Coturnix japonica: one gene and its partner. The protein of the gene in region 2 binds, or shares a complex with, the protein of the main gene of each other region. Links are inferred from orthologs where the notes say so. Each region holds a gene or a part of one and is shown on either strand. Other genes may lie near its edges.

What was found. The genes of interacting proteins can lie anywhere in the genome.
Region 1: QRSL1 (region 2) and GATC share a complex: the UniProt entries of both Homo sapiens proteins name them as parts of the heterotrimeric GatCAB amidotransferase (AdT) complex. The link is inferred for Coturnix japonica from reciprocal best matches to the Homo sapiens genes QRSL1 and GATC.

What each region holds. Positions count from the first base shown.
Region 1 is NC_029530.1:8,238,685-8,242,120, reverse strand, and holds GATC (glutamyl-tRNA(Gln) amidotransferase subunit C, mitochondrial), read left to right. Parts: upstream 1-1,239; coding exon 1,240-1,419; intron 1,420-1,892; coding exon 1,893-2,059; intron 2,060-2,134; coding exon 2,135-2,238; intron 2,239-2,533; coding exon 2,534-2,589; 3' UTR 2,590-2,936; downstream 2,937-3,436. Other genes in the region: TRIAP1 (TP53-regulated inhibitor of apoptosis 1), read right to left, coding at 838-921, 1,095-1,241. UniProt on the Homo sapiens protein: Allows the formation of correctly charged Gln-tRNA(Gln) through the transamidation of misacylated Glu-tRNA(Gln) in the mitochondria. The reaction takes place in the presence of glutamine and ATP through an activated gamma-phospho-Glu-tRNA(Gln).
Region 2 is NC_029518.1:61,918,733-61,922,842, forward strand, and holds the start of QRSL1 (glutamyl-tRNA(Gln) amidotransferase subunit A, mitochondrial), read right to left. Parts: upstream 2,801-4,110; 5' UTR 2,713-2,800; coding exon 2,689-2,712; intron 2,559-2,688; coding exon 2,399-2,558; intron 2,085-2,398; coding exon 1,986-2,084; intron 510-1,985; coding exon 413-509; intron 1-412. Other genes in the region: RTN4IP1 (reticulon-4-interacting protein 1, mitochondrial), read left to right, coding at 2,909-3,152, 3,649-3,800, 3,994-4,062. UniProt on the Homo sapiens protein: Allows the formation of correctly charged Gln-tRNA(Gln) through the transamidation of misacylated Glu-tRNA(Gln) in the mitochondria. The reaction takes place in the presence of glutamine and ATP through an activated gamma-phospho-Glu-tRNA(Gln).

The sequences.
Region 1 (3,436 bases), on a different chromosome or scaffold from region 2:
TTCAGCATCACTGTCACTCAACACTTTGATTATCTCAATCAAAGATGTAACAGGAGTTGTGGCCAACCTGGTGCTGTGTGGTCGTGTGTGCAAAGACAGCCAGGCCTGCGCAGTTCTACTGCAGTGACACATTACATTACAGGAGCAAGAACTCAGATTCAGGATCACTTCAGTACCTCGGAAAAGGCCAAAGAAAGTGGCCTCTGCTTTCACTGTTTCTTCAGTTCTGTTGCAGGCTGCCTCTGTCCCTCCTGGAGGTCATAATCAGACGTTACCAAACAGTCATCCACCTGAACAAAATATAACTTCTTACATTTATTTCATTTAAGCTATTGCAAATCCAGCAAAAGTGCTTTTACACCATCTCTGTTACTGGCAAAACCTGTGCTTTAGGCCCTTGGTGTTTGGGATCATATAAACCAGCCTCCTTCCACCCAAATTCAGCACCACAGAGATAAGACAGAGTAAACCAACCTTCTTGTTAGACGCTTCCTAACATCATAAATAAGCAAGATAAACGGGTCAGAGATTAACTACAGGTTCAACATCTCCCATTATAAAGTACATTCGACAGAAGTTAAATCATCTTTTTGCACTGTTATAAGCCGAACCACCACCACGATTCATTGGGAAGGAGGCAGCAGGCAGCACACCGTGAAGTCTTTTGGCTCGCGGCAGTTTGTTTCTACAGGCACAGAGGAAACCCCACTTCCTACAGTGCTACATGGAGGAAGCAGCTCAGCAAAGCGCTGTCCCGGTGCATCCATCCTGGCTGCTGGGTGGCCGCCGTTCCCAGCCCGTGGGCTCGTATCACTGACTCCCCGCATTCAGCTGAAGTCAGGAGGAGTTTTCAGCTTTCCCTTTGCTCGGGCCCATGAACTCCAGCCCTTCGATGGGGATGTCCTTCTCCTTGATGGCTTTCTGGGAAGAACAACAACAAAACGGTTACGTTGGAAGCACGTTTCAAACGGCACCGAGAAACAAAAGCTTCTGTTCACAACGTCATCTACAAACAGCAGCGTCAGCACCGCCCCGCACGGGCTGCAACGGCACGATGCTGGGCTGTGAAGGCGGCGGCTCGGCAGGGCCCGCACCTGCACGCACAGCTGGTAGCGCTTGAAGAGCTGCCCGCACGGGTCCCCGTCGTTCTCGCCCTTGAGGAACTTCTCTGCGAACCAGCGGTTGAAGCACTGGTCGTACTCGCGCTTCAGCTCGGTACACGCCTCCCCCACGCTATTCATGGCGGCACGGCCCCTCCGACACCGCTACGACGCGATTCCGGCGCGTAGCGATGACGCCACAAACCGCTTCCGGCGGCGCGAGATGTGGGTGCCGGGGTTATGGCGGGGACTGCGGGGCGGGACGGTGAGAGCACTCAGGATCAGCGTGTGCACAGCCAGCGCCGCGCCGACACCGCAGGTCAGACAGAGCACGGGGCCGGGCCGTAACGTACCATGCCATGCCATACCCATACCTATAACCATCACCATACCATGCCATACCATACCATACCATACCCATACCTATACCCATACCCATACCTATACCCATACCCATGCCATACCATACCATACCATACCATACCATACCATACCATACCATACCATACCATACCATACCATACCATACCATACCATAACCATATCATAACCATACCATACCATAACCATACCATAGCATAACCATACCATAGCATAACCATACCATAGCATAACCTAACCATACCCTACCCTAACCATACCATACCATACCATACCATACCATACCATACCATACCATACCATAACCATACCATTACCATACCATACCATACCATACCATACCATACCATACCATACCATACCATTAGTGGAGGTAACGGTTTGAGGAGCCCCATCTGTGCTCTCTTGCAGGACGGCGTCACGATGGAGGTTCTCGACCACCTGGAGCGCCTGGCCCTGGTGGATTTCCGCGATGCCGACGGCGTGGAGCGGCTGCGGGACGCGGTGCGATTCGCGGAGCGGCTGCGGGAGGTGGATACGGAGGGTGTCCAGCCCATGGACTCGGTGCTGGAGGACAGGTAAGGGCCGTGTTGGTGCCCCGTGCACATCCAGCCCCAATGTGCTCCATGCAGACCTCCGGCCGCTGTCCTCAGGTGTCTTTATCTGCGGGAAGATGACGTTACCGAGGGGAACTGCACGGCACAGCTGCTGAAAAACGCCACGGAGAAAGTCGAGGAATACTTCGTAGCCCCACCAGGTACCATAGCTTCTATAGAACTTTTGCATCGTGCTCGAGTTAACCCAACACCTTCCAAAGTAAGGGATGACTCTAATCATCTGTACTAACAAACCAAACCTGGAGCAGGCTGCAAGCTATTGAGCCTAAAGCAGTAGAGGGGTTAATGTTACCTTACAGCTCCTGCCCAGCACTGCTTACAGGAAGGCAAACAGAACTTCCTGACTTCCCTTACATGCTCACAAATCAGACTGCAGTAGCACTGTACGTTAAGCTGCACTGCTCACTGGTCTCTCACAATTCTCTTTTCTTCCAGGTAACATCCCTTTACCAGAGATGGAAGAACGAGATACTTTCCTGAAGGGCTCATAGAGACAGAACCCAAACGCTGTTTCTATATTTCATTTGGGATTACTGCGCTTTGTGTGGGGACAGCTGAAATACCCCAGGAGGGCAGAAACTCCTCCTTAGATCAGAACTGAGTGTCACCTACTTTACACAGTGCGTGTTCTGTATCTGTTTGTAGGGAAAAAAAGTCACTCCCACTTTGCTTCTCTGTGTTTCTGTGTAATGAACAACACCAGCTTTGTGTAAGCGTTCCTTGGCAGAGATGCTAAACAGCCATAATTGTAATTATTTTTCCTATGGAGTCTATATTCTGCATCCCTACAAACAAGACGTGATTAATAAACCAAATCTCTATGCCAATATCAAATTCACTGCAAAGCTTGAATATTAGAGCTTGTGTCAGGTGTGTCAAGAATCAGACCCTGCAAACCCTCCCTTAAGCACAGCCTGGTGAGAGGACAGACCGCCTGATGCTTGTTCCCTGCAGCCTCAACTGTCTTACATGTTAAAAACACATATTTCCTTAATGAAGGGGTTTGTAACAATGTCCTCGCTAATGAGGGAATTACAGCCCTGACTCAGATCCCCACAGCTTGCACATTAGGAGCCCTTGCATAGGGTGGATGAGCTGCCTATGGGGCAGCGTGTTGGTGTCTCTGCTCCCCCCAGCCTGTGTAATGAGTTGGTGCTGCCCTGTGGGATGGCTGAGCTGCACCCAGGGGGAGGAGGCACCCCTGGCTCATATCCTTACGTTGTTCTGCTACAAAACAATTGAAAACAACAGGTAAGTGAGGCAAACATAACACATCTCTGTCAAACAACTGTTCTTCTCAGTGGTTTGTTGCAGCCAAAAGCAAAAGGTCTGTTTGGT
Region 2 (4,110 bases):
TAACTGTCATCAAGGTCATAACAATAATTAGTTAAGGGTAGAAACCACTGGTAAGAGGAAAAAAAAGGCAACAAATAGCTGGTGCAGTAACCAGATCTACTTGCTACTGGATATGGAAGTCTGCTCGTCCTCTGCTTTCTGCAAAGGTTATACTAGTCCTTCCCCTCAAACACAGCCATAGTTGAAGTCTATGTTCATAAAAAACTGACATGTAGATCATTTACCCAGCAGTAAAAACGTTCATGCAATATCTGAGAAATTCAAGCAACTCTAAATTCTCTTTGCAGATCAGCGTGCGTTATTTTCTAACTTGATAGAAAGAAGAGTTTAAGGATTATGGACAGATCGGAACAGATGGTGTGGAATCTGTTTAATGTGGAATCACATGTTAAAAATCATAAACATCACTCACCCCATTGCAAATTCATCTAGGTTTGTTTTTCCTAAAAGCACAGCGCCCTGATCCAGTAATTTCTGAACCACTGTAGCATTGTAAGGGGGAACATAACCTGAAAGCAAGCAAAACAGTTAAGGGAGTGGTTGATGAGATACAGTTGATTTCTAGAAGTAGCTCCTCTTCCAAGCACCTCAAATATGTCACTATTGGTGCATAAAAGTCACCGCTGCACAAGTGCCCAAATTTTGCTCCAATACACAATATGGGTAATTCTCAACATTTAGCAAAAGTAAACTAAATACTGTTTTGTCTGTAATGGTATGTTTTTTCCCTTCACAATTTACAGTTCAGTAACCCTGGATTGTCCATTTCCAGAACGTGAAGTTAAACCTTTACACAAACAAGTTACCACAACAGCAGCAAATTATGGCATTTGGGCAATTTGCAGAAGCGGTCTAAAATGAGAAGAAATGAGGAACAGCTCTTTACAGACAAGTGCTAAGCTATCTCAAATCATTCCCATTACCAGGAGATGTGGGAGCATATAATCAGTCACAAGCTGAAACACAAGTTGGCTAACCTGTAAGCAACTCTATGCACCTTCAGCCATTTTGACTGCATATAAACTATGAGTTCTGTGCCACTTCCATGAGATACTGGGTTGCAACCAACTTCTGTGAATAATAACAGTGACTTCTCCACCCCCCGCTTTCAACTGCACAATGGATGCTCAACCCTAATGGAAACATTAGAGTGTCTGAAAAATTTCCTTTCAGTGGTAATAGAAACAAGCTTCAAACATGTTCACGAATTAAAGTCATACAAGCCTGTTCTACAAAGTGGGAATATAGGGAATTGTTAACAGTTACTCTTCCTACAGCCATACGAAAGCACCACGTAAGGCAATAGATGCAAACAGAACACAAAAGACTGTGTTTCGCTGGACACAACAGCAAACACTAGTGACTGCTCTCCTCTGTAAAACCAAGTACTGTATTAGTAATGGCAGCGTAGCTACATGAATAAAATGAGAAAATACACTTGCATTAGAAAAAGATACACCCTTATACAATTACAATTGTACAGTTATAAAGCTGATGGATAAACGGAGGTCATATAATAAGAAGAAGATAAATGACAAATGCCCACCACTGTTGAGGCACATTGTAAAACTCCACACAGGAGTGATCTCCAGAAAGAGATGGTACCTTAGTGGTGGTCAGCCCTTAAATGAGATCTAGGAGAGGTGGACCCAGGCTCTACCCCTTCAGGTAGCACAGCTGAATTACCTTCACCTGTGCTCCCACAGCTGACTCGTTGCTTGGCTCAGATGGTTAATCAGAGGTTCAGGCTGTGACCAACAGTTTCCCATACCACCTGTAATACTAGATGATCTTGACAGAGGAAATCAGATAAACACAGCTCCTCAAATCAGCTCAGCTCATTTTTGAAAATGTTTGGATCTATGGAAAATTTCACTCCGCTAAACCTCTCAGGAGAAGAGCCTGACTTGCGGAAGGCTTTGCTCACTCTTCAGCCAGAGCTCCAATTTCACTTTAAAAGCTCTACAGCACCTTTCATACGGTACCTTTTAGCATGTTTGATGCGCATGTTGTCTCAATGCCAGCTGTATTGAAGTTGTCCTTCACTGCAATGGGAATTCCATCCAGCTCACCCAGTGGCTGACCTGCATTAGGAATTATCACAGTCTGGTGTGGGTTGGAAGGGACCTTAGAGATCATCGAGTCCAACCCCCGGGATTCGAGCCTCTGTGTAGCAGAGCGGCACTTCTACCACTTGTGCCACAGGGGGGATTCGAATTATTGCAAAGACCACAGGGATTACATCAGTGTGCTATGTAAGTCAATTTTACCCTGGTGCTGCCTGCACCCACTGCATCCCAAGAGCCAGGAGTGCCCACCCGGCACACACAGCAGATGCAATGTACAATAAAAGCGCCCTTCCACCACGATTGCCACCCTTACAAACAGCCTGACGTACCTCTTCGGTATCTTTCCTCCGCCTCCTCGGCCTGCTTTAATGCAGTTTCTTCCGCTACCGTAATGTAAGCATTGAGAACCTGCGTGCTCCTGATGAGAGCGAGGCACCTCTGGCAGAGCTCTGTGGGGGTGACCCGTCCTTCCTTCAGCGCCAATGAGATCTGAAAGGGGAACGCCGACTGTCAGAGCTGCTACCAGACCCCAACCCAGCGCCGGGACACGGCAGGGCCGACGAGCCGCGGTCACCTTGAGGCAGCCCCGCAGCACACAGCCCGCCCCGAGCCCGCTAACCTGGCGCAGAGAAGCTCGCAGCATGGCGGCCCGCTCCGCTCCACCACACACCGCTACGACCCCTCTCCCGTCCCGTCCAGCTGCCGCACTGAGCCCCTGAGTGCCGCCATCTTGATGCAACACCGAGCAGTTCTATTGGCGGAGCGGCCAAGACGGCGGCCGCCCATTGGGACCTGAGTGAGGACGGGCACCGGGCCGCGGGTGGGGGCTGCTGCCGGCCATGCTGGTGCGGGCAGCGCTGCGCTGTGCGGCGCGGCCAGGCGGGCAGCGACCGCCGGTACGTGGGATCCATGGTTCTGTACGGGCACGGTCCGCCATGCCCTCGTGGGTTATCGACCAGTACGGCCGCAACGAGGTGCTGCGCTTCACCCGGGACATGGTGTTCCCCGTCATACACTACCCCAACGAGGTCATTGTTAAAGTGCACGCCGCCAGCTTGAACCCCATAGACCTTAGCATGAGAAGTAAGTGGCGGGGCACGAGCCGCCCTAACCGCGAGATGGACTAAGTGAACTGGGTCTGTTGGGCCTTGAGAAAAGAAGGCTGAGAGGGGGCTTGATCCAGGTTTATAAATACCTGAGGTGTGGGAGCCATAGTGGTGTGGCTGGTCTCTTTTCAGCAGTGCGTGGGGATAGGACTAGGGGTAATGGGATGAAACTACAGCATAGGAAGTTCCACATGAATTTGTGCAAGAACTTCTTTATAGTGAGGGTGACGGAGCACTGGAACAGGCTGCCCAGGGAGGTGGTGGAGTCTCCTTCTCTGGAGATATTCAAGACCCACCTGGATGCCTACCTGTGTGACATGGTGTGGGGAGCCTGCTTTGGCAGGGGGGTTGGACTCGATGATCTCTAGAGGTCCCTTCCAACCCCTACAATTCTGTGATTCTGTGAGATGGTGGGCATTGACCAGGCCTTAAATCCCACCAAGGTCTGTAACGGCTAATTTCACATTTTCTAGGTGGTTACGGTGCAACTGCGTTAAACATGAAGCGGGATCCCCTGAAAATCAAGAGCATGGATACTGAGTTCCCACTAACGCTTGGTCGGGATGTCTCAGGTGTTATCATGGAATGTGGACTTAGTGTGTCTTATTTCAAACCTGGAGATGAGGTGATACCACTACTCAGGTTTTTTTTCTCTAAAAACACATAGTTAAAATACACCATGAGTTATTCAGCTGCCTTTCCATAGTAAGAAAATAATTACATTTTTGCGCTCTGAATCTGGGCTGTCTTCACTGCGTTTTGATAACAGGTTTGATGTTGTGCACAGATGTTGGTAGTTGTTTTCTGTTTGTTTTTAGGTATGGGCAGCAATTCCTCCGTGGAAACAAGGCACGCTCTCAGAGTTTGTGGTAGCCAGTGCTAATGAGGTAAACTTGCAGATAACAGGTGAAAAACCAAAGCTGTAAATACTGATG